Caenorhabditis elegans: one gene and its partners. The protein of the gene in region 3 interacts with the protein of the main gene of each other region in a biochemical or structural test. Each region holds a gene or a part of one and is shown on either strand. Other genes may lie near its edges.

What was found.
Region 1: the proteins of ifp-1 (region 3) and ifb-1 form a complex in vitro, tested with the Caenorhabditis elegans proteins (one study listed by BioGRID).
Region 2: the proteins of ifp-1 (region 3) and ifa-4 form a complex in vitro, tested with the Caenorhabditis elegans proteins (one study listed by BioGRID).

The regions. Positions count from the first base shown.
Region 1 is NC_003280.10:5,762,684-5,772,516, reverse strand, and holds ifb-1 (Intermediate filament protein ifb-1), read right to left. Parts: upstream 6,900-9,833; 5' UTR 6,876-6,899; coding exon 6,743-6,875; intron 4,296-6,742; exon of another isoform or gene 4,172-4,295; intron 3,573-4,171; exon of another isoform or gene 3,557-3,572; coding exon of another isoform or gene 3,517-3,556; intron 3,419-3,516; coding exon 3,168-3,418; intron 2,871-3,167; coding exon 2,749-2,870; intron 2,704-2,748; coding exon 1,915-2,703; intron 1,805-1,914; coding exon 1,603-1,804; intron 1,556-1,602; coding exon 1,448-1,555; intron 991-1,447; coding exon 826-990; 3' UTR 433-825; downstream 1-432. Other genes in the region: Doublesex- and mab-3-related transcription factor dmd-5, read left to right, coding at 1-54, 103-326. UniProt on the Caenorhabditis elegans protein: Cytoplasmic intermediate filaments provide mechanical strength to cells. Essential protein, involved in attachment structures in epidermal cells that connect muscles to the external cuticle. Required in morphogenesis and epidermal integrity.
Region 2 is NC_003284.9:4,910,909-4,918,755, reverse strand, and holds ifa-4 (Intermediate filament protein ifa-4), read left to right. Parts: upstream 1-2,776; 5' UTR 2,777-2,779; coding exon 2,780-2,870; intron 2,871-3,386; coding exon 3,387-3,670; intron 3,671-3,726; coding exon 3,727-4,011; intron 4,012-4,054; coding exon 4,055-4,150; intron 4,151-4,195; coding exon 4,196-4,309; intron 4,310-4,357; coding exon 4,358-4,531; intron 4,532-4,580; coding exon 4,581-4,869; intron 4,870-5,320; coding exon 5,321-5,400; intron 5,401-5,768; coding exon 5,769-6,044; intron 6,045-6,105; coding exon 6,106-6,144; 3' UTR 6,145-6,448; downstream 6,449-7,847. Other genes in the region: K05B2.2 (Ras-associating domain-containing protein), read right to left, coding at 6,772-6,931, 7,180-7,410, 7,467-7,551.
Region 3 is NC_003284.9:9,673,273-9,681,673, forward strand, and holds ifp-1 (Intermediate filament protein ifp-1), read right to left. Parts: upstream 6,898-8,401; 5' UTR 6,895-6,897; coding exon 6,784-6,894; intron 6,718-6,783; coding exon 6,604-6,717; intron 6,130-6,603; coding exon 5,845-6,129; intron 5,357-5,844; coding exon 4,979-5,356; intron 4,934-4,978; coding exon 4,769-4,933; intron 4,722-4,768; coding exon 3,842-4,721; intron 3,554-3,841; coding exon 3,483-3,553; intron 3,434-3,482; coding exon 3,281-3,433; intron 3,083-3,280; coding exon 2,975-3,082; intron 2,886-2,974; coding exon 2,820-2,885; 3' UTR 2,601-2,819; downstream 1-2,600. Other genes in the region: C43C3.4 (Penicillin-binding protein), read right to left, coding at 1,267-1,319, 1,362-1,480, 1,547-1,593. UniProt on the Caenorhabditis elegans protein: Cytoplasmic intermediate filaments provide mechanical strength to cells. Not essential protein.

The DNA of each region.
Region 1 (9,833 bases), on a different chromosome or scaffold from region 3:
CTTCAATGCCAATGTTCAATCCTGTGTATGGAAGACCATTCATGAGATTTCCGAGTAAGAGAGCTTATTCAATATTATTTCGTAAATTAAACTTATTTTCAGTGTTTTCAGTGATGCCGCATTTCTTCGGAACTCCATCAATGTCAGATTTCGCATCTGCTGCGAGCCTCGCAGCTCCACCAGCGTTCTTCTCAGCCCAGCCAACAATTGCCACGTCATCACCGAGCACAATTTTCCCACAAACTGCTCCATTGGATTACAGTCATCGTTTAATGAAAAATGAGGAAGCCGAAGAAGAATACCGAGAAAATGATAAAACATTTTGAGAAATTGAATATTTTTTCTTATCGTCAGAATCAGAGTTCCAATACTTTGTATATTTTTATATGGTCACATTTAAAATTGTATTTATGATTTGTCTTCAATTAAAAAAAACTAAACTGAATAAAAAATCTTATTAAAATTGAAAAAGAAGTAGAAAACATTGAATAGAAAGATTTTTCGGTGGAAAATGAGCGGGGGGAAACACTTGAAGTTTGAACGGGAAAAGCAGTGTATTATGAAAAGAATTGCAAACGTTTTTGTTCTTTTTTTGATGTTTTTTAAAATGAATTTCAGATTAGCGATTTTAAGTGAAGAGTCTTAAGCAAATCAATTCAATATTTTGGTCAGTTTTAGGCAGTTTCAATGAATCAATTTAAAGAAAAAATGTCGAGAAGGTCTATCATCAAGAATAATAAGAAAATTATGGACAGAAACTAGAGAACTTGAGTGATTTTGGGGAGTTGTTTAAAAGAGAAAAAGTTGTTTAAAAATAATGAGAGCTTATTGTCCGGATTGGATGGTCTTCTGGGTGTGTGTTGCACGCTCCTCTCCATCCTTGTTCACCAATGACGTCACAACATTGGCTCCGATTCCCCAGGTGTTCTCTCCATCGAAGACAAGAGACTCTGGTGGGTTGTTGATGCCTCCTTGGTCACGGGCGTAGATCTGGAAATTTATTGGAATTGGAATATTCTCTTTTCGAAATTATGTAGATTAGTTTCTCAGCAAATGCGAGAAACCCTTAGACTAACCCGAAACGATTAAATTTCATAATGAGACCTCTCAGAAAATGTTTCCAAATTTCTTATGGTGGCTCAAAACTTGGGGAAAACATTTTCAAATTTCTAAAACCTGTAACTCTGATAAAGAGCATTAGAGAAATAACAACTGATTTTCCGATATTGCTACATGGACAATCTCACAAAATTTCAGATTTTAGCAAAATTTGGCCATTCCCTTTCAAAATTTTTTTTTTGGAAATTTTCAGGTGAAAGTACGTTTTTAACGGGCTTCAGACTATGTTGGCTGGGTTTCTCAAAAATATAGTGGCAGACTAAAAAAATACTAAGAATATTTACATAGCTACACACTTTTTTCTAAAACAATGATAAAAATAACTTACGGTCAAGTTCTTTCCTGGCTTGATAACAACATTGGCTGGAATGGAATAGACAATTTCGCGTCTTCCATCCAACTTTCTTCTGATTTTGTGCTCACCAACATTCTCATCCTGAAATAAAATTTTCAACATTTCAAAACCAAAAAGCTTCAACATACCTTGTTTCTGTGCGAGTTCTCAAGCTTGATGAACTTTCCATTTGGATCACACTCGGAAATTGTCACATTTCCCTTGGCGGATCTTTGGAAGGTGGTCTTGGTGGATACCTCACCGCGAACTGATCTTGTCGAATCAGTGTTTTCTTGTTGTTGGAGAGAATGCGTCTTGACGGCTTGCTCAACCATTTGGGTGAGTCCGACTCTGCAAATATATTTTTGAAACTTTTGAGAAAGGTTTTAGAACAAAATGATAACAAAACTGCCCAAAATTTGGCTTGCTGGGAATATTGATTAAATAACGATAATAATTACCTGGTCTCTTCTCCCTCGAGCATTTTTCTGTAGATGGCAATTTCGGCGTCAAGCATTTGCTTGGTATCCAAAAGAGCTTGAAGCTCAGCAACCAATGTTTGGCATTCCTCACGCATTCTTCTCAATGTAGCATCTCTGTCGTTGAGGGCAGCTTCGTATTGTCTTTGATCGTCGGTCAATTGGTAGTTCAAGTTCTGAACTTCCTTCTCCAAAAGTGAGTTCTTGTTCTCCAAATCTCCCAATTTTCCGCGGAGATCTCCAATGTTGTCTCTCATTCTCTTGACCTCATCCCTCTGGTAGGTGGACTCCATATTGGCACGGTTGGCAGATCCTTGAACCTCGGAAACCTTGAGCTTGTACCAGGACTCCATGTCTTGCTTTCCTTGCTTGGCAATGATATCATACTCATCTTTGATATCACGGATGGCAAGAGCCAATTCGTTTTTGAAGAACTCTCTGGTGTCAGCTGGAGCCTGAGCAAGGAGAGCTTGAAGTTCCTTAACCTCTTGTTCGTGAACTCTTCTCAAGAATTCGAGCTCCTCCATCAAAGTCTGCACTTGATTTTGGAAGTCAATTCTGCCAATGGTCTCATCATCAAGATCGCTTCTGGCCTTCTGAAGTTCTTCCCAGATTCTCGAGTTGTCAGCTGTAACACGCTTCTCCTCATCTGTCAATTGCTTGAAACGAGCACGGAGCATCTCAACTTCGGATTGAGCATCAGCGATAGCATTGGTCCATTGGGAGATCTTCTCGCGATCGGACTCACGGCGTTGCTGGATATCTTCGTATCTGAATAAATATTGATAAGCAACAGAAAATTAAGAATAAATAAACCTGGATCTGTACTCAGCCAAGTCGTCACGGTGTCTGGCAACTTTCACATCAACCTCTGCCTTTCTACGAGCAGCATCGTCAATGTCCTTACGAGCTGTTGAGAGGGATTCGGAGTATTTGATCTGAAATTAACAATTTGAATAGGAAAGAAGCTTTAAGAAGTTTGTTCCAAAATATAGGTTGAAATTTTAAAAAAACACTGGACAGGAAGCGCACAGATTTTCTTCTGGTAAGTTGAAGATTTTAAGGATGTTTGAGAGAATTCTCTAATATAGTAAATAAAATCTTGAAAGTTTCGAATATATATCTAAATAGAAATTACTGATTCACAATCAAATAATAAATGTTTTTTCTACAACTACTTCAGTTTTTTGCTTGCAGAAGCTTGCTTAAAATTTATTTGAAATTCACTAAAATACCTTAATCTCGGATGTGTCTTTTCCCCATTTTCCGCGAAGCTCATCCAAATCAGCAACCAATTTACGGTTCTGCTCTTCGAGTTTCTTGACACGATCAATGTAATTTCCGAGACGATCATTGAGTCCCTGCAGTGTCTTCTTTTCCTTATCAGTCGCCTCAAGGAACGATTTTGCTGCGTTTGCGGACAAGGCCGGTGAAATTCCTCCGACTGTAGCTGATCCCATCTCTGTCACCATCTTTAGCACGCGTCCTGAACGTTTTTATAATGATAATTAGGAGATTAGATTTGATTTGAGTGTTTTTATATTTCTATTGGGAATTTATATTTCGATATTCTTCTATTCTTACCTCCTGACATTGGTGCCTGTGGCGCTGATTCAGCCTCCATTTCTGATGTGTTTTAGCTTGAAATTTTAAAGTTTTTCTAGAAGATTAAGGGAAAAAAAATAATGAGGAACAAGTTCGAAAATTTCTGAATGAAAAATGAAAAACAAATGGTATAGAAACTAAATGTAAGTGTCACAAACACTATGCAAAATAACGGAAACCGTCGACCAATTCTGACCCTCTTCTGAATACTCCACCCAACGAAGAAATAGCATTAAATTTGTGGAGAACTTAGAGAAAAAGAATGAAGGTGTGTCAATGGTTTTGCCTTCCCGATCATCACCGATGATAGAAAATGGAGAAAGAGAAGAAGATATAATGGTGATAAGTTGAAGACAACGGACATGTACACATACGTACAGATTGCGAGTTGACTGTGCCTATGAATGAATGGATAAATTGGAAGAAAAGTGGAAAGAGATCAAGACACTACTTACTTAGAAATTGAAGATGAAGAATACGTCAAGGTTGTTGTGGGCGGAGTCAACTAAAGATAATCATCTTGATCAGATCTCAATCATTCATTTTTGTTATCTTTTTTAAATTGCGGGGAAGCTAATTAATTTAACTAGGATTCCATTTTTGACATTTTTTGGTAAGGGAGATATTTTTGTTTCAGAAACTAAATCTAATGGTAGGAAGGCTTATTTTTAGGCCAACGTACCTGTTTTATTTTTGTCAATTTGATAGAAATTCAATTAAGAAAAACATCATTTCCAGTCCTCAAAAATGTTTTTAAGTTTAAGAATCTTGAAACACGGGCCGCAAAAATTGACTTATCTCAAGTTAGAACAAAATTGGTTAAAAAATTAGTTTTGACAACTTAAATGTAAGATGGGACATTTCTAATTGAAAAAAAAAACTCTACACCATCTTGCAATAAATCGGAGAAATCCGAGATTCTATCCGAGAAGATCTCATAAATCAAGTGATAATCAGTATAATAAGTTCTTGTCACTGTTCCACCCAATTCTCACTCATTAAAACTAAATGACTAATCACACATAAAAAATGGGTGTTTTCCATGTCTCAGTTTCTCATCATTCAAAATAGTCACATCTTGGGTGTGGTCATTCCTTCCTTTCTCACCTATTTCTCATCTATTTCGTAACTGTATTCTAAATTAAAAGTTATTCAGGGGATTCTTTTAATTTTAATTCGTTACCCAAAAAAAAACAAAATTAAAATAAATGATGAATAAAATCAATAAAAGCTCGGATTTCTTCAAAGTCCGTCAAGTTTTCAAGTGTGTTGAGCAGTCAGCCGGCTGGCGGAAAGTGTGCCCAAGAAACAACAAACTAAACATTTTGTTGACTTAATCGGCTCAATGTATCTTTTTATACATGTTATCTCAACTGGTTACGAAAATTGAAATATTGTATTTAAAACTGTCTGAAATTTTGGTGCCTCTTTCAATCTGTTATTTGCTTTTTGCATTTTATTTCCAAAAATGTTGCCATTTTTATGTATATGCATAGTTGAAGACTATTTGCCTAACAACTCTTTCTGTCATGCACTATAAACTTGATGGAACTTGAACTTTTAAATTCAATAGATTTTTGGTTTGAAAATGAAGGGCGTTCCTCAGTGATTATGCTAATTGTGAGACTGTATCGAGAGACGAGAAAACCCAGAGATTTATGGGATTTTTTGGATGAGAAAAAGTGGATTTAATGACGGTTGAATAGGAAACGATATGGGCTGCCGGAAAAAAATCTTGTGGTCTTATATTTTGATCTTGATCTCCAGATTTGCTTAAAACAATAAAAAAGAACAATTTTTCTTTTGTTATGGTAATGCCTGCCTATTTTCTATTTTCACAGTGAGTTAACTTGCTCAAAGAACAACTAAAAATTACAAACATAAAAGATAACTTGTGTTTAGGCAGCAGATACGTGCGTAGGCTTACGGCAAGTTATAAGAAGCTAATACTATGTAGTAAGTTTACGTACCTAAATCTCTGACTTAACAAACAATTTTCAATTTCAAATTTTTACTGTTAAAAACTGTTTTTAGCTTTTAATTAAATATATTTCGACTGCAGTTTTTGAAGTTTTAATTATCCTGACATTTTATGCTAAAATTGCCAATTTCAAATTTTCCCCATTTTTGCCTCAAAACTCCAAAAATATTAATATTTGTTTAATTTTTGAGGAATTCCCCCATTTATTCACAGAAATTTCACTTCATAAAAACCTGTTTCTAGATTTTTGTTAAACTATGAAAAAGTGTGGTTTCTTGCCAAGTGAGCAAATATTAAGAAAACTCATTAAATTAAAAATTGCATTTAAAGGCATAAAGTATTACTTTTTATCTTTTAACTTTTATAATTTCGAAAATAATTGATTTTAAGTGATATTTTTAAGCAGAAGATTTTGGATCAACTCCGAGTAGAAAAAATGTAAAATCCCTGCTCAAAATATTATCCTCTACCAAACTGTTCACCTTTCTCAAAAACGTTTCGTTTAGCCAAGAACAAATCAACGCGTTCGCACTGATAACGACTCTTGCTCTCTTTTTCTCGTTTTTATATTTTCTTTTCATCCTCCAGGTCTATATTTCCATCCTCATTTCTATTGTATAGCACAGCAAAAACCAATATTTACTTCATCTTCCAATTGATTAATAAAACCACCCAAACTATTTTTTTGCAATCGGATGAACGAGAGAGAGAGAGAGAGAATAAAGTGTTCGGTTCGATTGATGCGACTGTTCACTAATTCGCTTTGAATTCAAATACATAATTATGGATGGGTAGTAGACGGATAAACATGTAAACAGAGAAATAGAGAAAGAAAGGAAAAAAGAATATTGGAATATTGGTTCAGTTAATAGTTGATCGGATGTATAGTGTCAACTTGAATTAAGGTCATCTATAAGACCGGTCCAGGAGAAAAATAGCTTGAAGGTTTACTACTTTTGAAAAAATAAAAGTATATTCTGAAACTCTCAATCTAACAGGAAAGTATAGAAAATACGTTGGAAATTGAGTGATCTCTGAAGCTTAGACTTCAGTAGGAAATTTTTTTAAAAGATATATAACTATCCGGATTTCAAATCAAGAATTTGAAACAAGAAATGCTCCTGGTATTGATGATTATTTTCAGAGGAAAGGATATAGTAATAGCTGAAATTTTTTTTAATCTTTACCGTTTTCAACTTTAAATTTTTTTAAAATCTAACTAACCTCCGGATCCTGCTCCATTTCCACCAGACACGTAGTTTCCAGACTGACGTGATTGAGAGCGAACCGCTGTTCTTGGCTGGATGGTGGATCTGTATTGCATCTCGTACTCGGAAGATTCCTTGTGAGACGACATCTTCTTTCAGAAGTTTGACGCTACCTGAAATTTTTTTTTTGAAAATATAGAAGCTGAATTGGGAAAATACAGAAAACTGAGCAAAAAGTAACAATTACAAATTTTAATAAAAAGTGTTAAACCTTAAAACAACAATATGATAAAAAAAAATGTTTCTGCATCCTTCGGCATCCAATTTGTTCCTTATCAAAACCCAAATAAGCGTGGCCGGTTTTCAACAAACATACACACTCATATATATGTTCAACATTTTTTTGAGTACACTCCACAAAAAAACAGAAAACAAATAAGGTGGAGGAGGAGTGACTGAACACGCCCATTTTTGTTCATGGAAATCAGAATTGAATATGGGTGGAAGGACATGATGGTGAGTCAACGTTAACCTGTCAAACAAATTGAAACACCCAAGCACATTCCGGAGAATTGTTAGATGGAAGAACAATAGAGATTGAATTTCTCGCGCATTGTGCAGGGAAATTTGCAAGAATTGGGTGGAAAATGACGAGAAAATGATGGAAGTTAAATGATTTTATTCATGATTTTTTTAAAAGATTATCTTGATTTTTTTTTATTTCTGCAGACTACAGTAAATGCTTCTTATAATTGTTTTTTTCGAGCAACGTGAAATGATCGCAAAATAATAAAAACCTTCTAGGTAGGCACGAAACCTACTAGAATTCACAGGAAAAATAGGATGCAACCAAGTACGAAAGCCGGCAAAAAGGAATGATTTCATGCCTATCTCCTTTAAAGACTTAATTGTTCAGATCTGAAAAACTTTCTAAAAAAAGTGGGACAGCGAAATTTATGTTGCATTTTGTTTCGTAAAGTTTTCAACTTTTATGAATGATTTTGAAAATGAATTGCTGTTTTTTTTTTAATTTTAGTATTCATATTTTCATACCTAAAGCTTGTTGACTCAAACTTAAAATCATAATAAAACTAGCAAAAGATGTGAAGAAACATGTGGGTGTTCAGTGAGTCATAAAGTTGGAAATTTATTGAGTAATTGTATGACCAAGTTCTAATTGACACTACTTGAAATCCTAAACCATTCGGTTACTCATTCACGATAGTTTAGAAAGCTTAAAGTAACTTTGGGGTGGAGTGAATAAAAGTAGAAAAAGACACAGTGCTCCTGCTCTGCTCGGAGTAAAAAAGTGAAGCGAAAAAAATGAAATCGGAAAGACACACACACACAAGCATTCCTACAGAATACCGAAAGGGTATTGTGAGGACGGTCTGTTGCGCCGGGGGTCGATGAGGCAGAGGCCCTGAGAAGCGCCCCCACCAATTGCTCCGCCCCCATTTTGTTGCCGAACCGTCGAAAAACGAGCTGCTATTTGCGTTCCTCCTTCTTTTTTCTCTCTGCGCGCTTCACTTTTTGAAATGATGCGCTTGGCGTATAGGCGTATTCCGAGAGAATTTAGAAGAGATGACGACTACTTTTACCTCATAGGAAGTGGCCGATTATCACAGTCAAGGACAAGAGAGAAATGATTTGAAATGGAAAAATGAGGAGATGTTAGTGAGGGAATTGGAAGAGGGGGAGAATAAGACATTGTTAACATTTTGTTTTCATTTATGGGTGAGAATGATGACAAGATTGGAGGTACAAGTGATCAAATAGTTCTACGAAAATGTTCCGTGCTGGCTAAGGTTTTGCATTTTTAATGTTGGGCTGTGGTAAAAAAATTAAGAACTCATTGTCAGTAAACAAGTTTTGTAAACATTGAAACCTGTAAAAAAATAGTTTAAAATTATCGCCGTCCAGTACTAAAGCTGAGGCATACCGTATTTTCCCTACAAAGTCTGCACCACAATTACTCTACTTTGACGGCCTATTTTCCAATTGTCTCAAGTGTTATCAAAAAATTCTCTACAACCAAAATATAGAGACATATTTGGTACATATTTGGTAGTTGACAATTTATTGATAAAATTTAAAGCAACCGAGATATATTCTGCCAAAGTAGAACCAGAAGATACAAGTCTAATAGGAAGAATACGGTAAGTTGAGGCCAATTTCTAATCTCGAGGCAAATGTGAAAACTAGCATGCACAAATATGCCTACCCGCCTATCTACAGGTACGACTCTGCTTGCAAGAGAGATAGGCAAGGAGGTAGGTAGGAAGGTAAGTAAGTCTACTGGTAGGCGGGTAGGCATCATGCGCTCATTTAGCATTGAAAAATTATAGCCGATATGATAGCTTTCTTCCCGGCTAAGTGGGTAGGTCTCAATGCGCCTGTATGCAGGCGGGTGAGCTTTTTGAATGAATAGAAGGCTACATAACGTTGACCCATCTAATAATACAATAACGAACAAATTTTGAAATTCAGAAAGGAATAAATCCAATTTCAATTAATCATCTACAGACTCTACAGACTAGGAACTATCGCTCTTGTTGTTCTGCCTTTTTTTTACTGATTTTTTTTGGTGCAGTTTGAACCTCTACCAATTAATACTATGAGTCTACTGGTTTTCAATAGATGGTTTCGATGAAAAAAAGAAAGAGAAAAATGAAACTGATGGATTAGGCATAGTTCTCAGTTTTATGTCGTCTTACGGGTGGGGTTTTGTATTTTTGTTTTTATGAACTATTTGAATTTTGCAAATGAGGAAATAGTTTAGATGTTTAAAAAACAAATAAATTAAAATAACGATTTCTCGAAGGATGTGTTATGGAAGACACGAGGGGCTAAACCTTGAAAAAAGCAAATTGAAGTCAAAAGTGATGGGGGCGTTTTACGGTTGGTCGACGTCCTCCTCCTCATTCTTCTTCTCCGCTTTTCTCCTTTTTTCTTGCGTTTCAACTGGATTCGATTCTTCGTTTTTTTTCTTCTTTTCTACCGTCCTCACCCGAAGTCTAACCATTTTCCTATTCAGAAACGGGACGACGCCCAATTTTCGTCGATACTCCGCAGATTCGGAGCGAAGAGGAATCGGAACGAGGAAA
Region 2 (7,847 bases), 4.8 Mb from region 3:
TAATTATGCAGAACGACAACAACAAAGGGAGTCGTATTGCAATATGTGTATTGGTACACTGTAATCCGCACGTTGAGCGCACCGAAACGGCTTAGTCAGTTCTTATGAAAAATATTCAGAATACAAAATACATAACCTGTTTTTACGTTCCGAACCGATACCCCTGAATAGGATATGAACTGTAATCAGTTTACGGGCGCGGTTTAACTTTTCAAGAAATGTTAGCATCTGTCCCGAAAAACTGTCATACTCTTTATTAGAAGCGAAACGCTGAATTTTCACATTATATATGGATTCGCAAAGTTTCCAGTTGTTATTTATGTGTTTTTAATACGTTGCAGACGACGTAGTTTATCCCCAAGCTTATTGTCTACATAGATCAAAAACTTGCGTTGCTTTGTATTTGAGTATATAGAATGAAATCACTAGTACTGTAACTTTCCTAAACCTTCTCGTGCACTTTTTATAATTGAAAATTTGACAAAAGGCTAAATTTCGCTAAAATTCTCCAACTTATACGTGTTTTAGGACATTAGGTTTTATTGAATTATTAATAATTTAGCATATTTGCAACGCATACCTGTGTTTAATTAAATATCAATTGAAAACATACCTTACTAATTAAAAATTAGATTAATTATAATGATAGATAAAAATTAGAAAAATTAGATAATTGAAAATTAAAAAATAATTAGTTGACATAAAAACGCGTTATGATTAACCAAAATGCACCAGAAGAATTAAGCAATTTAGTCAACGTTCTTGGAAAATACAACAAAAAATACCACTTTTATTATGAATTTCGGTCTTGTGCCATTTTATACGGATAGTTTGCGATGTGGCGTTGCTCATTTTACAAAAATTGCAAAATTGCCAGTGTAAGTAGAAAATACCAATTAAAAGCTAAAGACGCATTAAGAAATAATTTCCATTTCAAATAAACGTTGTTGAATTAGTAATACGTGTGTTGTTAGTTTAATTTTCATTTAAATCTCACCAAAATTCAATTTTTACTATTTCACCTGCGTGCAATTTTTGACTCATATGCACTACCCAACAAATATGTTATTTCCCTACCTCCCCCTCCCGCAATTGTAAAGCAAAAAAGTAAAAAAATGTTTAAAAAGAGACTCTCAAAATGCAAATGTTTGTTTTGATACCCGCTATCAATCCGCCCTTTTCGCCCATTTTTTCTTCTCTCCCTGATTTTACAGGCCGAGTTTCGTTTGTGTACATGAAGGCAACAGCTCCGCCTCCGTGTTATTTTGCATATATATTTCAGGCAACACCTACGGTTTGTTTGTCCGACACGGTCTCCTTAAAAGGGAGTACTGTAACTGAGCTTTTTTAAAAATGACACTGGTTCTATTTTTCCAATGCAACCTTCCTTTTAAACGTTAGTATAATACTTAAAAACAAAAAAGGAAAGTTTGTTTTTTTTTCTAGTTTCTTAATTAATAAAGTTCGCATGTACTGAAAAAATGACTCTTTTCCTGATGATAATGCAATTTATTTTATACAAATCATAAGTTTCATTAATCAACAGACATCTTAGCATTATGTTTCAGAACATTTTATGTAGATTTGAATTTTAAGGGAAGTTTTAATTTTAAATTCCGTTTTAAAGAAGACCGTTTGCCGTGAGTTTTTTTTTCAGTGTTGTTTTTATTTTAAATGTTTAACTTCAATTTTTTGGCAGTTTTAAAATGAACTTGTATACAAACAATTTCATTAATAATTGTTATTTTGGCTGTACAAGTAAATCACGAACCATAATCAAAGGCTGACTTGTAAGATGTCGGCCGATTTATCTAAGAACGAGATCGCGGGGTGCAGATTTGAAACAATCTGAACCTGTAGACAATATAATCAGCTAAATTTTATTTATTGAACTTTTTCCCAACGCTAATAGTTTCTGAGATAGACACAATCAAATAAATTTCAGAATTATAGATTAAGACCCTTTTGAACATTGAATTTTTAACAAGTCGTAAACATTTCACCTAAATTTTAGAACACGCAGTTTCGATGCTCTGAACTTATTTTTGTCAATTTGTATTCCCATTATCCTCCCCTTATCGCATACTAAAAATTTTTCCATTTTTCGATTTTAGTTTTGACGTGCTTATCTTTTGTCATCCCTTCACAACCAAAACAATTCAGAATAATATAAGGTGTTTACGATCCTTTAATACTCATGAATATGGAAACGTTGTGAAACAGTAGCATTGTGTATAAACACGCCATGACGGCAGCTAGCATCTAGTAATCGGTCACCGAATCGCCGTCGCCACCGCCGTCCGCTTTTGAATAGCGGTCAGTGCGCGTTCGTCAATAGCTCGATGAACCGTTACACTCTCCCAGTTTTTAGTTTCTGTTTCATTTTCTGTTTCATGCCTGGTTTTTTCCTTCTATAATTTGACTATACAGACAATTAGGAGTAAACCCTCCTAGGCATCCTCTTTCCACGCATGCCAAGTCCCGTCAAAATAAATAGTGCGCGCGCCAATTTGTAACACGGTTTTTTGTTCTGTCAAGAGTTAGGGCTCTCGAAACAGCTAATAGATCTCGCGCATTGTCATTGTGTCCTACAAACGATCCATCTCTAATCTGTGTCATATTCACTCATATTCTTGTCACATATGTATAACGTCATTTACTATGAGGTAACTTTTCTACACTTTTTCATCGAAAAATAGTTCGCTGTGTTTTTTTTTTAATTTTCGATTATGAAAATGCAATTAATTGAAAACTATTTAAGTTTCCATGTTTGTAGGAAATGTCGGAGAGCGAATACCGAAGCTCAATTTCGGTTCGACCAACGTTTAACAGAACAATGCAATCCACCGCCACCTATGGAAGTACTATTTGTGAGTTTTCAGATGAATATTTTGAATATGAGCAGTACTTTGTCTTTAAAATTGTATTATATGATGTATTATATGATTTATATTAAAATTAAACCCTCCAAATGTTTTAATTTATGTTTTACAATATTCAATTGGCAATATGCCAAACGTTCAAACAACAACCCTGACCTTTTGAGAAGTTTTGAACATTTTTGCTGATCTGAACTTTCAAAATGTACAAATAAAATCAATTAAAATTCAATTAAAAGAAAAAACTTGTGGAATGTTTTATTGTCTCACTACCAAAATTATGATTGGTGAAAAATGATTAAGTGAACTTTTTTGACTGTAAAGTTAAAAATAAAAATTTAAAAAGTGTTAAAAAATTATTAACATTAATGAATTGATTCCTCTGGAAAACCTACAAATTTTTTTTGTTTTATGGTCATGTTTGTCAAGTGTTATTTTTCAGTTCTGATACACGTTTAAAAACTACTTCAAACTACAAAAACTGACTTCCAAAAATTCAAATTTCAGCTTCTGGAACTAGCCGCACACTCAAGATCACAGAGATCGGTGGATCTAATCTAACATCAGGCATGTCTCCATTCGGAGGCCATGCCGCCTCTGCCATTCGTGAATCTCGTACTCGCGAGAAAAAAGAAATGAGTGAACTCAATGACCGCCTGGCGAGCTACATTGAGAAAGTTCGATTCTTGGAGGCTCAAAATCGCAAGATGGAGAAGGACTTGAATTTGCTCCGTGGAAAATGGGGACACGATTCTACAAGTGTTAAAGTTATGTATGAGACTGAGCTCAGAGTAAGTGAATGAATATTATATACAGCAAAATCTGAGAAACTTTAAATTCTGTTCAGAGTGCGAAAGACCTGATCGCCGATTCTGACAAAGAAAGAGCTCAGCTAGAAGATCAAATTAAGAAACTTGTTGAAGAGCTGAACAACTATAGAAACAAACTTCATGAGGCTGAAAGAGGTGCTGACGTTACACGTAAAGAGCTTGACAATGTGCTCGGAAGACTTGGAGCATTGGAAGCCGAGATTGAGCTATTGAAAAGAAGAATTTCTCTGATGGAAGAAAGCATCGGTCATTTGAAGCGCGAAAATCATCGTATGATCGACTCACTTCATCATGCCAGAAATGTAAGTTTCAGTAGAAAACTTAATTTATATGTACAGCTTTCAGGCTGTGGAACAAGAAACTCTGAACCGCATCGATTATCAAAATCAAGTGCAGACACTACTGGAGGAGTGTGATTTCATTCGCAGAATTCATGATTCGGTATGAAAAACAATTAGTACAGCTTTCAACGAGTGTCTTTTTCAGGAAATCCACGATCTTCTCGCTATGGCATCTCGTGATACTACGGTGGAAAACCGCGAATATTTCAAGAATGAGTTATCCTCTGCTATTCGTGAGATCAGAAGCGAATATGATCATGTGAGAAAAGTCATTAAAAGAGGTAAAAAATAGAGACTTGAATTACAGGTGAGCAACACTACCCGTACTGACATCGAGTCTTGGTACAAGCTGAAGGTTCAAGAAATTCACACTCAAAATTCTCGCAACTGCTTGGAGCAGAATTATGCTCGCGAGGAAGTTAAGAGACTCCGCACAACACTTGGTGATATGCGTGGAAAGATGGCGGATCTAGAAGGAAGAGTTCGTTTTGATGACTATATACATCTGATATTATTTGTCAACATTTCAGAATCTTCTCCTCGAAAAACAAATCGAAGACCTCAACTACCAGATGGAAGAGGATATGAGATCATATGAACAATCACTGAACGATAAGGACACATCGATCAACAAACTTCGTGACGAGAGCAAGATCCTGATGGTTGAGCTTCAAATGCTCATTGATACAAAACAGACTCTCGATGCTGAAATTGTGATCTACCGTAAGATGCTTGATGGAGAAGAGAATCGCGCAGGTCTACGTCAGCTCGTCGAGCAGGTTGTTAAGACAACATCTATTCATCAAACCAAGGAAATTGGTAGGTTCGCGTATACTCAATGTTTACTTCACGTTACGATGACCACAAATTACGGTTAAAATTTAAAGTATACGTCCACTGATAACTTGTTTCAAGTTTTCAAGTCATGCGGTCACCAAACTGTGTAACGTAACTTTATTATTGTTTTCCGCCCAGAGAGACCGCTGGGTGTGTCCCCTTGTTGATATACCTTGGTCAATTTAGTACTCCTATTTAATCGCTTTACTTTTGATTTGGAACAGCATTGTTTCATCTTTAACCCAAAAAAGTAACATGCCAGAAATTCATTGTTCTCAATACGAGACTATCACTTTTGACGACGTTCCCCATACCCATTACCTTGTCGGTGATAAAATTCGCAGAAAGCCGCACGGTAAGATTAATAGGAGTAATAGGTGTCACGAGGCATTGTTAGTTGCAAATTTATATCAGTTTTTGTGTTTTGTTGCAGAGAGTCTTCGAGTTCTCAAAGGTGAAACGACTAGTCATTCGTCGTATTCCAGATCAGCAAAAGGAAATATTGCAATTCAGGTGAGTGGAAATTACATCCCAAAAATTGATGTATATTCTGAAAAAAACAATTATAGCAAAATTTTGAAAGCAATCATGGACATTTTTTGAGCGAGTTTTTGCCTGCAATTTCCACTGAACACTTCAGAAAATGACTATTCTTCAAAATGGCCGTGCACAAAATTTAGAAATATGTGCCTGGTGTGACGATTTTGCATGATCCGACATTAACCGGGTTCGCTGCTCACTCAGAACCTAGTCCTGTGCAAAACCAAATATATGTCGGATCATGCTGAACAAAAACTTTCCTTAAAGTGGCCGTGCCCAAATTTCTGAAAACAGTGTTTTCGATTTTTCATTTTTGCAAGAAAAAAATCCACCATTTTCAGGAAGCCGAGCCATCTGGAAAGTACATTGTACTGGAGAACATCTCAAGACGTGATGAGAACATCGGAGACTGGAAACTCCGTCGGAAGATTGCCGGAAAACGCGAAATCGTGTTCACCTTCCCGCGCGAGTTCACCCTTCGTGCTCAAAAGAGCGTGAAAATTTTCGCACGTGGGCAGGGAGTTCATTCCCCACCCGATAGTCTTGTGTACGACCTCGAAGACTCGTTCGGCACCGGAAACGACGTCGTTACTACTCTCTACAACAAAGAAGGAGAGGTAAGCGTCAATAAATTATGCGCGCTGGAACTGACTGGAAACGTTATTTATCTTGTTTCAGGACCGTGCTTCCCACAGCCAACGTGCTTCACACACCTAATTGCATCAACCAATTAAATCCTATTGAACCCGGAATTACTCTCGCTTGCCTCAACTCTCTACTTTTAATGTTTGATCGAATCTTGACCCAAGATACATTTGTTCTCACCGTTAGCCATTCCTATAAATGTTCGGATTTTCAGAATAAACCAATACTGTTTTGAACCGCCAAAGTGAAACATTGATTTTCGTTTCATATCATACGAAAAGCCTTTCATTTTTTGGCTAACTCTCTAACATTTCCATTGCTTTACCATGTGCTTTTTCCATCAATTAACATTTGTAAACTATAAACTGCTTATTTTATTTCTGATCAGTTTGCTTGGTTATTTTTTTGGGAACTTTTTGTTGGACAACTGGGGGAATAGAAATGGGTAAATGCACAGGGAAAGTAAGGAGAAATGACATATAGAAACAAATACAGAAAAAAGTGATTCGTGGGAAAATGTAAACTTTCCAGAGTCTGATGATTGAATAATGCGGTAAGGAATGAAGCCAATTCTTGAGTGGGGGTTTGTGAGAGGGAAAAACTTGAAATAACTGAAGTGGGATAAAGCCGATAGCTTGACACGTGGATCGACAAAAATACACAGATAACATGAACGCTAAAATTTTGAAAGTAAGGAGCTCAGGCAATGACAGTTAGTGGGGTGGAGGTCCCTGAACATCCCAAGTCGAAAGATGTCTCCAAGACTTCTGAATTCTCATCTCCATTCTCATCTTGCTTCTTGAACTCGGCCAACTTCTTCATCAAGTCTTTTTCGGTTTCTTCGACGCGCAAGATGTCACTGAAATTTAAAAAAACAATTAAACAAACAGTTCTTCTAAAGTGCATTTCGTTTGTCAATTTTGTGGTCCAAGTTGCAGAATTTTGAATACATTTGGTCGACGTGACGTCCTTGATAAGGCAATCAGCCGAACACTCTCAATGTCAATAGATAAAGGACGACGTGGTCACAATCACGTGGATCGATATGATCATCATAATTTCCGGGGTCTCTTTTGTCTGGCATAGTTCAAAGTTCAAAGATCTTACCTTCTAGTCTTGTTGATTGCTTCTTTTGTAGCTGCTAGCGAAGCCTTCAGCTTGTGCGATTTCTTGAGCTCAAGTTGGTATTGTTGCGGCCAGTTTGCAGCGATCATCGGCTTCAGAATTGCTCGCAAATTTTTCTGTTGCTTAAGCAGTTGACGAAGCTCTTCCTCCTGCACAAGATACTCGGCGACTTCTTGTTGATTCATCGTTTCCGACAACTTTTTCACGTCGGCTCTGAAATTTCTTCAATTGGGAGTAAGGCACAACCAATCAGATCACCAAAGACTCACCTTTTGAAACAATCAAAATCGTCTTTCTGTGGGATAGTGGCGGCGCCCATCGTGATATTCTTTTTCTCCATGACTGACATGTAGTCTGAAATGAGATTATATACTAGAAGACATGGTCGGATGACGATGAACTATCCGGTCAGGTCGCGTGGGCGGTCTTTCATACTATTTTCAACCAAAAACCGGAGGAGGATGTGAGATAGTGTGACACAAAATTTGCAACACTGCTAGATTTCTAAAAATATAGTTGCCGAATTCAAATTGACGTAATATGTATTTTTTTCTTTTTCAAAAATCACATTTTTGATTGTATTTTTTTAAAAACTGAAAAATAAAATAAAATTGAAAGTGACGAAAAATGGTTCACCGCGGGGAGTGGCC
Region 3 (8,401 bases):
GTTTAGCGTAGAGAAAATGAGACAGTGAGAGCAGCATCAACTCTACTGACTGAATAAACATTACGCACACGAGCCATTTTTCCATACTCTTTTCCTGGACAGTGAGGGGAGAAGAACATAAACACACAAACAAAGTTTTGTGACAAAAGTAGCATAATTCAGTTTTTGTTAGTTTATAAAAAATTTGATTTAGAGACTTAGGTGGCAATGCAGAAAACGTAAATAAATGTAAAGAAAAATGAAAATTTTGGAACTGCTAACGCTGCAGTATACAATCAGAGAAAATTGTTTACGAAGTTTTTTCATTTTATTTTAATCTGAATTTCATTGAAATAGCGTTATTGTATCTAAGAAAAAGTATTTTGTTCATTGGCAGTTTAAAAAAAATTTTTTAAAAATGAAAAAGTTGCCAAAAATTTTCAGAAGTCTGCAAATTCGTCCGGTTGCCGCATTGCTCGAAGTATGTACTTCAGTCAAAATTTCAGTCAAAATTAAACTTTTTGAATACTGTTTCTCAAGTGGTGAAAACTGTTTGCGGCATTTATTGAGACATCTCAATCACTGTCGGATGCCCGTACAATGTTAGAGTATAAATATTGTAACCATAATTAAAATATAAAACTAGAAAATAAAAACTTGTTTTTTTTAATAGATCACTTCAAAATATTTGGAAAAAACTGAATTTTCCGCGTTTTGACTCGAAATAAAAATTTCTCGTAACGCGTAATTAATAATCGTTAAGTTAAGTTAAATCAATCAAATCAAAAACCGCTTCTCTTTACACCCTCCAAGCAATGATTATGGCCTACATATGCCCAACAAAGATTTCAAATAAAACATGAAAATAAAACCTCGATTATATCAATTTTTCTACTTTTTGCTAGTTGCGTGCTCACCAAAACCTTGTATTTTTCATTATAGCAATGGATAAACGATAAATAATTCCCATTACGCAACGTTTCATGTTAATATGATATTGATGAAATGTTGCGTTTTTACTACAAGACAATATGAATTGTGACATGAAATAATTCAATTTGTCATATTTTCATTCATATTTTCTCAAGGAGTCTGACTTGAATATTAAAAAAAAACAACGGAAACAATGTTGAAATGAATTTCATTCTGAAGTATATAAATTAAATGTTATGTGTTTCTTACAAAACAGTTCAGAATTTAAACAAACGCGTAATTATGCAGGGTTGTTCTTATCTGAAACCGCATCTGTTGACCGATTATAAATGTGTTCCCGGCATTAAAAGATATTTAGTTGCAACTCTGGACAACTGTCGTTTGTGTTTCAAATGGTTTGCCATCTGCTGAAAAAAATTTGTTTCGGAACATCTGCAGGGGCTAGTTACCTTGATTGATTTGCACTTGATCATTTCCGTTTTTGTCTTTTGAAATAGAATAACTATTGGCCTCGAAGCTCATTCCATCTAGCATATCTTCCGTGACAATTTCAGATTGCAATGCGTATCTTCAAAATTTTAGTTAAATTTTAGTTGGTGTATATTAGATGTTTGTTATAAAATCTTAAGCTCACTTTGAGTATCCCCGTTTTGTCAAAAAATCCTCCAAAGCTCCATGCATTATTTTTGGTTTGCTCTCAGCAACCCTGCAAACTAAAATTTTTGTGTCAAAGAAGATCTATCGAATATTATTCTTATCTAATTAGATTAGAACGATGTGATATTTTGCTAATAGACACTTGTCGACAAGAAATGTAGAGATATTAGTGAAAAACCGCAAGCCAGTGGTGAATGTTCAATATTCAAGTCAGAACAAAATTCTAAATGACTAGAAATGAGCCCGAAAAGGAAAATAAGAGAGTGTGGAAAAGTGGTAGATGAAAATAAAAAAATGTGGCGAAGAATTTGAAAACATGTATCCAATGGAGATGGAAGAAAGAGAAACAGAGCCCAAAACAAAGAAAAAAAGAGGAAAGGGATATGAATTGGTCACTTAGCAGTGCCAGATGTGAATATCCTAATGGTAGAGGATCGGGTTAGGTGACAATGTTTGAAAAAGAGGGTAAGTGGAAGACAGGCGCGCCGATAATGAGTTATGATATGAGTTGTCTATGCCTTTACTCAACCCACACAAACACCCCCGTTAATTAATGAGTGAATCATTTTAAATTTAAACTTGATACGGTTCACTTTTAAATGATAATAATCAACTTTTATCTCATCTGAGGTACTTTTTTGTACTTGGAACAGTTTTTAAAACATTATTTTCTTGGGTCACTCAAAACAGTCCAACGAATAAAATTGGTTTAGCAATAATTGACCGCACGGGAAAGCAATATTTTTACTTGGAAGTTGAAGTGTATTGCCAGATGAACTAGTGGAAAATACTCTGTAGCTTAACCGTTTATTTTTGAAAAAAAAAACCGCTGGAATTTTGTGAAGAAAAAATAGAATTCAAACTTCCATCAAAACTGATTTTCAAAAAAAACAAAAGCTGAAAACTGCTTCTTCTCTTTAAATAATTTCGATTTTAATCTCTAATTTTTGAATAAAAAAAAATTACATTTAGCAGAGTTTCGAAACAGAGCAGATGTTTATAATTGAATCGGGGCAAGTGAGCTTTTTTTGAGTAATAGGTTTATTTTAAATTCAGAATATGAAAGAAATACGAATTACTGGGATTGAATTAAAGAATTATTTCCTTTTTCAAGAAGTGAGTGGAAAAAAATAGGGGCAACGAGTAGAAGTTTCTTGATAAAAAGTGTGAAAAATGAAAACAAGAGAAAATAAAATATATATTTGTTGTTAGAATTATCATGTTATCAGAAATTTGGCATTAGTAATGTATCAATGATGATGATGGTCTGCATCTCCGATTTCAGTGTTGCTCGTGTAAACAAACCACGATTTCACCTGAAATATAATTGGAGTAATCAAAGTTATTGGCAAGAGGCCAGATGTCAATCAGTTGTGTTTACAATTGTAAATCAAAGACTATTTACCTCATTATTCGTGTTTCTGATTGATGTATTGGTATGGATGGTGGTATCGAAGAAGTCAATTTCAGCAATAACTGCTCCTCTTTCATGAGTTGCTCCACGAGCGTAGATCTGTAAAAAATAATTTACAGTTTCTAGTTTATCGGTGACATAGAAGTAGTATTCAGTTTTGCGCCGTTTGAAAAAAAACAATTTTTTTTTTCTACAAGTTAACACTGTTTTCAAAGCAAATCAACTTGAATTTGTGAATTCTAGGATCCTGAATGCTATTATATAAGAACTGATAAACTACACTAGAAAAAGCATAACCTTCAAGCTATCCTTGGGTGCAAGGATCAATCCAACTGGAAGATCAACATATACGCTCTTGTTTCCAAACTCGTGAATAAGTTTGAAGCCACCAACGTCTGCCGATTTTTTCGAGCTTCTATTTACAAGTTGAACAAAATCTGCAGTCACATCCTGTAAGAATTGTTCAGTCCTAATAATATTAAAAAGCAAAGAGTGTTACCGAAATCTTCACTCTCCCCTTGTACCATCTAGTGAATCTCTGGAAGTTGTCCTCGTCAACACTATCGGAACCTGGAATGCGTTTCTTTGTATTTTTTTATAAATATTTTTCTAGCGTGATAGTTCTCTCAACTGTCGTTACATAATACACGTAACAGTAAACTTTTAATCGTAAACGTTATTTTACGATTCGTTTGTGGTGGTTGTGTACGTTTGTCTTATCAGTAACTCTTTTTTCAAACTAATCTGGAAAAAACTAAAATGGTATGATACGATAGTTTTCGACAGCTTAAAAACGTCTCAAAGCTTAGCATTTGACGAGGTGTTGTCAGTCAATATTAAAAGCCGTCTTCCACTCACTACTGCTATGTTCAATTGATCCTTCATTGAGTAGAGTAGTGGAGATGCTATTGCTCACTGAGCCTGTTGCTGCATGATAGCTCGAATGATGTGGCCCTCTTTGGCTCGAGTTCCGATTAAAAGTATCGTAGTATGAGGGGACAGTAGCTCCTTCAGTCACTGGCGTAATTAGCGGGAAGTTGCTATTAATATGAGTGTAACCGGGAGCACGTTCATTAAAAATTGTAGGCTCAACTCGAGGAACGGCACCACCAATTGGATAAGGTTGATGTAAAGCATCGTTGCGACGAATTTCACTATCACGACGTTCGCTTGCAATCCTATCATTGACCGATGAAGTTGGAGTACGAGACGCGTATGGATTGTTAATCTGTGTTGTGTTAATCTGACCTCCCGCGCTAAGGTCTCTCACTAATCGGGTGTTATCTGAAGCACGAATTGTTTCAACCGAATGGCTTGGCAGAACCGGAAGTGTGCCTTGGAGAGTCTCGATTTGAATTCTCTCCCTGAGAGAAGATCGGCTATCAGCACGAGACTCCTGCTGGTACGGAGTATATGATGGACGAATCGGGCTCGCGTCCCTCGAATAAGTATATTCACGAATTGGTTGAACAGGAAGTGTAGCAGGAATTGGAATTGGCGTGTGAGTGATGGTCTCATGAATAGTGGTACCAGTTCTGGACGACGAGGAATCTCTCACAGCGTGATGAGCAGTGTGCTGAACTATTCCAGAAGAAGTTCGGCTATGGTGGTCAGAAATGCTGCTGTAGTTCTGTCGACTAAGCGCGCTTGCTATAACTTGAGTACTTGGCGCATTTGCACGAGGATCTCCAGATCTGTCGAGAAGTTCCCGATATTTTGCGATTTCCTTTTGCAAGTCCTGAAAACGTTAACAATTTAATAAACACACAAAATAATACAACATACAATGTTTAAGTCACAAAGTTTCTCCAATTCAACACTGATGGCAGTGCATTGCTCTCTCATCTTCTCAATTTCCTTTATTTTGAATTCCAAAGTATCCTCGAAAAGCTTGTTATTTTCCGAAATTTCCAGACGATAGAATTCAATTTGTTGAGTGAGAGAATTGTTCTGAAAATTACACAATCATCATGGAAAATAATTTCAAATTCTCACTCTGATTTCAACTTCAGAAACTTGTTTCTGCAATCCAGAAAGATTGTTCTTAACAATCGAAAGCTCCTCTCTCAGTTTGTCATAGCAAACTACTCCTGGCATAGTGGTATTCATTCGATGGATTTCCCTTTCCAAGCGAATTCGAATTTCTTCTTCGTTTCTCAATCTGTTAGCCTCATAATCAGCACGAATATCAGCAATTGCCTTGCGAAGTTGATCGCGGAAGACGTGACGATCCGCATTGCGATCACGAACAAAGTATTTGTGCTCATTCATGATAATCTTTTTGTTGTCTTCCTCCATATTTCGGATACTGTGCAACAACTCATTCTTGCGAAGAAGATATTCTTGTTGCAGACTGACAGCTTGATCTTTTCTCTGAATATAGAGAATTCACAGTCGATAATGAATAAGATAATGAGTCAAACTTCTTAACTGTGTTGACAAAAAATTTAGCTTATCACAAGGAACCTCGCGTTTTTTGAGAGGCAGTGCAAGTCTTTCATGACATTCACGCTACTAACTGAAAAACAGAAAACTTGAGCCAGCTAAGTTTTTTGTATGTTTTTTTTTTTTAACAGATAGTTTTTGGCTCAAAATTATATTTAGCATTACAATCATTATTTCCGTGTTGGGCGAAATGAAAACAAATCATTTCGAAAAAATAAAAAAATAAGTTTTTGAAAAAAAAAATTTATATATGTACCTACTGAATATATTTCAACAATCAAAATACCAGTGTGATTTAAATCTATCCCAAAAAACTGATATCCGAAAAGTTCTTATGAGTTTTTTTTCCAAATCTATCAAATTGAACCTCTATTGTTTTTGCATGTATTAACAGTCTTTTAAAAAATCGAACCCACCATTCTCATCAAATTAATATGCTCAAAAATTCTTCCATTGTTCTGTTTGATCAGTCTGAGCTTATCCTCCATATACTTGATTCTTCTCTTAGTGATACAATCTTCCATCTTGATATGACAGATTCTATGGAACTCATCATCAACCTCTTTGGGAACCCCCAAAGCTGATTTTGCAGTGTGTCTCCAAAGTTGTTCGGCTTCTTTGACTTGATGGGACAACTGGGTTTGCTCATTTAGTAGTTCGTGCCGGCTTCGGTTAATTTCTTCAATTCCCGATCTGACAGTCTGAAAAACAATGATAATATTGATACATCGTATGAATTAATTGTATACTTCAAATTGTTTTTAATCAGAAGTTTCATTTTTTACAGCTGACCAGAATGATAGTATGTTTGCTATCAATAGTAGGCGGCTTGCACGTTTCTAGTTGCCACTCCCTTTATTCTCTAATGATAATTAAAGAAATGAATTCTTCGGAAACAAACGATCGTAAAGATTATTGTTTGTAGTTAACGCGACACGCAAGCAAAGGAAATTATCGTACTCTACGAAAGAGCACAACTTCAATGTACTTTTAAGTCATTAAAACTGTAGGCTTCGTTTCTTTTAACGAGTAAACAAGTTCATCGCCGCTAAAACTTGTGTGAGGGAAACTGATGGTTTCAGCCCACACAGAAAGTAAATAGTGAAAACTGATAGCGCACAAAGAACAAGAATGCTGGAAGCGTGAATAAGACAGCTGCAACAATTGACACTCACCCTGATCTCAACATTGTAAATTTCATTAATTCCACTACTGTCGCTCTGGACTCCACTTTTTAGCAAATTGTAGTCGTGTTCCAAAGCAGTGTGCTCAGCTTCCATATAGTGGACCTGAAAATATTAAATATTTTGTTTTACAGTACATAGAAGAGATGATAGGCAATAACACAAACTCACATGTTCGATGATATCCACAAACTGATCGTTGAGCTGAACAAGGTCTTGTCGCTCAGAGAGCTTAGCTCTTGCCAGATGTAGTAGACAATCCCTAGCGTTAGCGGAATCCATGCGCTGAAACAGTAACCATAAGACCAGAAAGCAAGAAAATTCTAAAAGCAAAATGAAAAATTATAAAAGTGCGACTTGAAAGGACAAAAAATTGCAGAATAAGCAGAAAATAATCGAGTGCGTAAAACTTCTTATCAAAACTTGAAAAGGTGAATTAAAAAATGCAATAGGTGTACGAGCACGAGTGAAAACCGCGAATTTTCACAGTCGTGATGACAGGAAACCGAATCGACTCTTGGAAAATGTTTAATGGCATGCCATTGTGATAGTAAAGTAGGTGAAGAATGCTAGTGAGCATGTTTCACTCGGTTGGCGGTACTTTAGCACGTTTCTTATCACTATTAAAATAAAGAGCTATTTGAAGCGAGAGATAGATGAATCAAGAGGGAGAAGACATTTGTGTGGTCTATGGAGATGAGGGGGAGAGACTGATGCACCGATGTGGAGCAATCAAACTGTACTAACAATGGTGTAATTGTTGTAGGAGGTGGAAATGATTCATTGCAAGTTGCAAATATTAATTTACAGGATAATGTTTTTTACATTTCAGGAAGTTCGAGAAACTGAGTCATTTGTTAAAATACTTTTTATTTAGAAACTCAGTAATTTCTCCAACCTATTGAATTGAAGCTCTGGGCTTCAATTCAGCCCATTTCCGATTTGTTTTAAACATAATCAACTTACCTGGTTAATTGAGAGAACTCATGTAGAAACCATATATTTATTAAAAACAAATTCATCTTCACATTCAGCCGTATAATTGGCCAAAGAATAAATTTTACAAAAAATTTGCTAATGAAAATTTTTTCGCACGCAAAAAAAAAACAGTTATGCCGCTTTAGCTCCTCGAATTCAAAATGCTCCTTTTTCAAATTTGTTTCTATTTTTAATGATACTTCCATAAGTCTAAAAAATAAAAACGTGTGGAATATTTTTTAATTTTAAGCTTAGAAAATAGCCATTTCTAAGCCCAACGAAGAATGATGCGTACCACGTTTATATTGAAAGGAGAAATTAATGAAAGCTCAATTTAAATTTTAAATGAGGGCATACATAAAACACACAAGTACCGATTTTTTAATGTTCAATAGCTTTTGTTTTTTTGTTTTTCCAATGTGAAAACTGCATTTTCTATTGGTAATTTGTGAATCATAGTTACTTTACGCAAAATAACTGATAAGGAATCCTTGAACTGCTCAGGACTTCTCTATTAAAAGAATCAGCAAGGAAAAAATTCCCTGTTTCTTTCTTTTTTCTTTACTGTATTCTTGTATTGAATATATTCAAAAAGTGCGACAACTATGACGCCCACTTGCTTCTTTTCCGGTTTTCGTTTTGTTCATCATCACTCTTCGAGCTCTGAGATCAAAAACACGCCTGGAAGAAAGAACAAAATTAGTATTCCTCAACGAGTACAAATGCCTTTCCAGTTGGTACGCACATTTCTTGGGTAAATGTCGTTTGCTCCTAAACAATTGTCGGAAATTTTTTTGTGTTCAGTGTGATC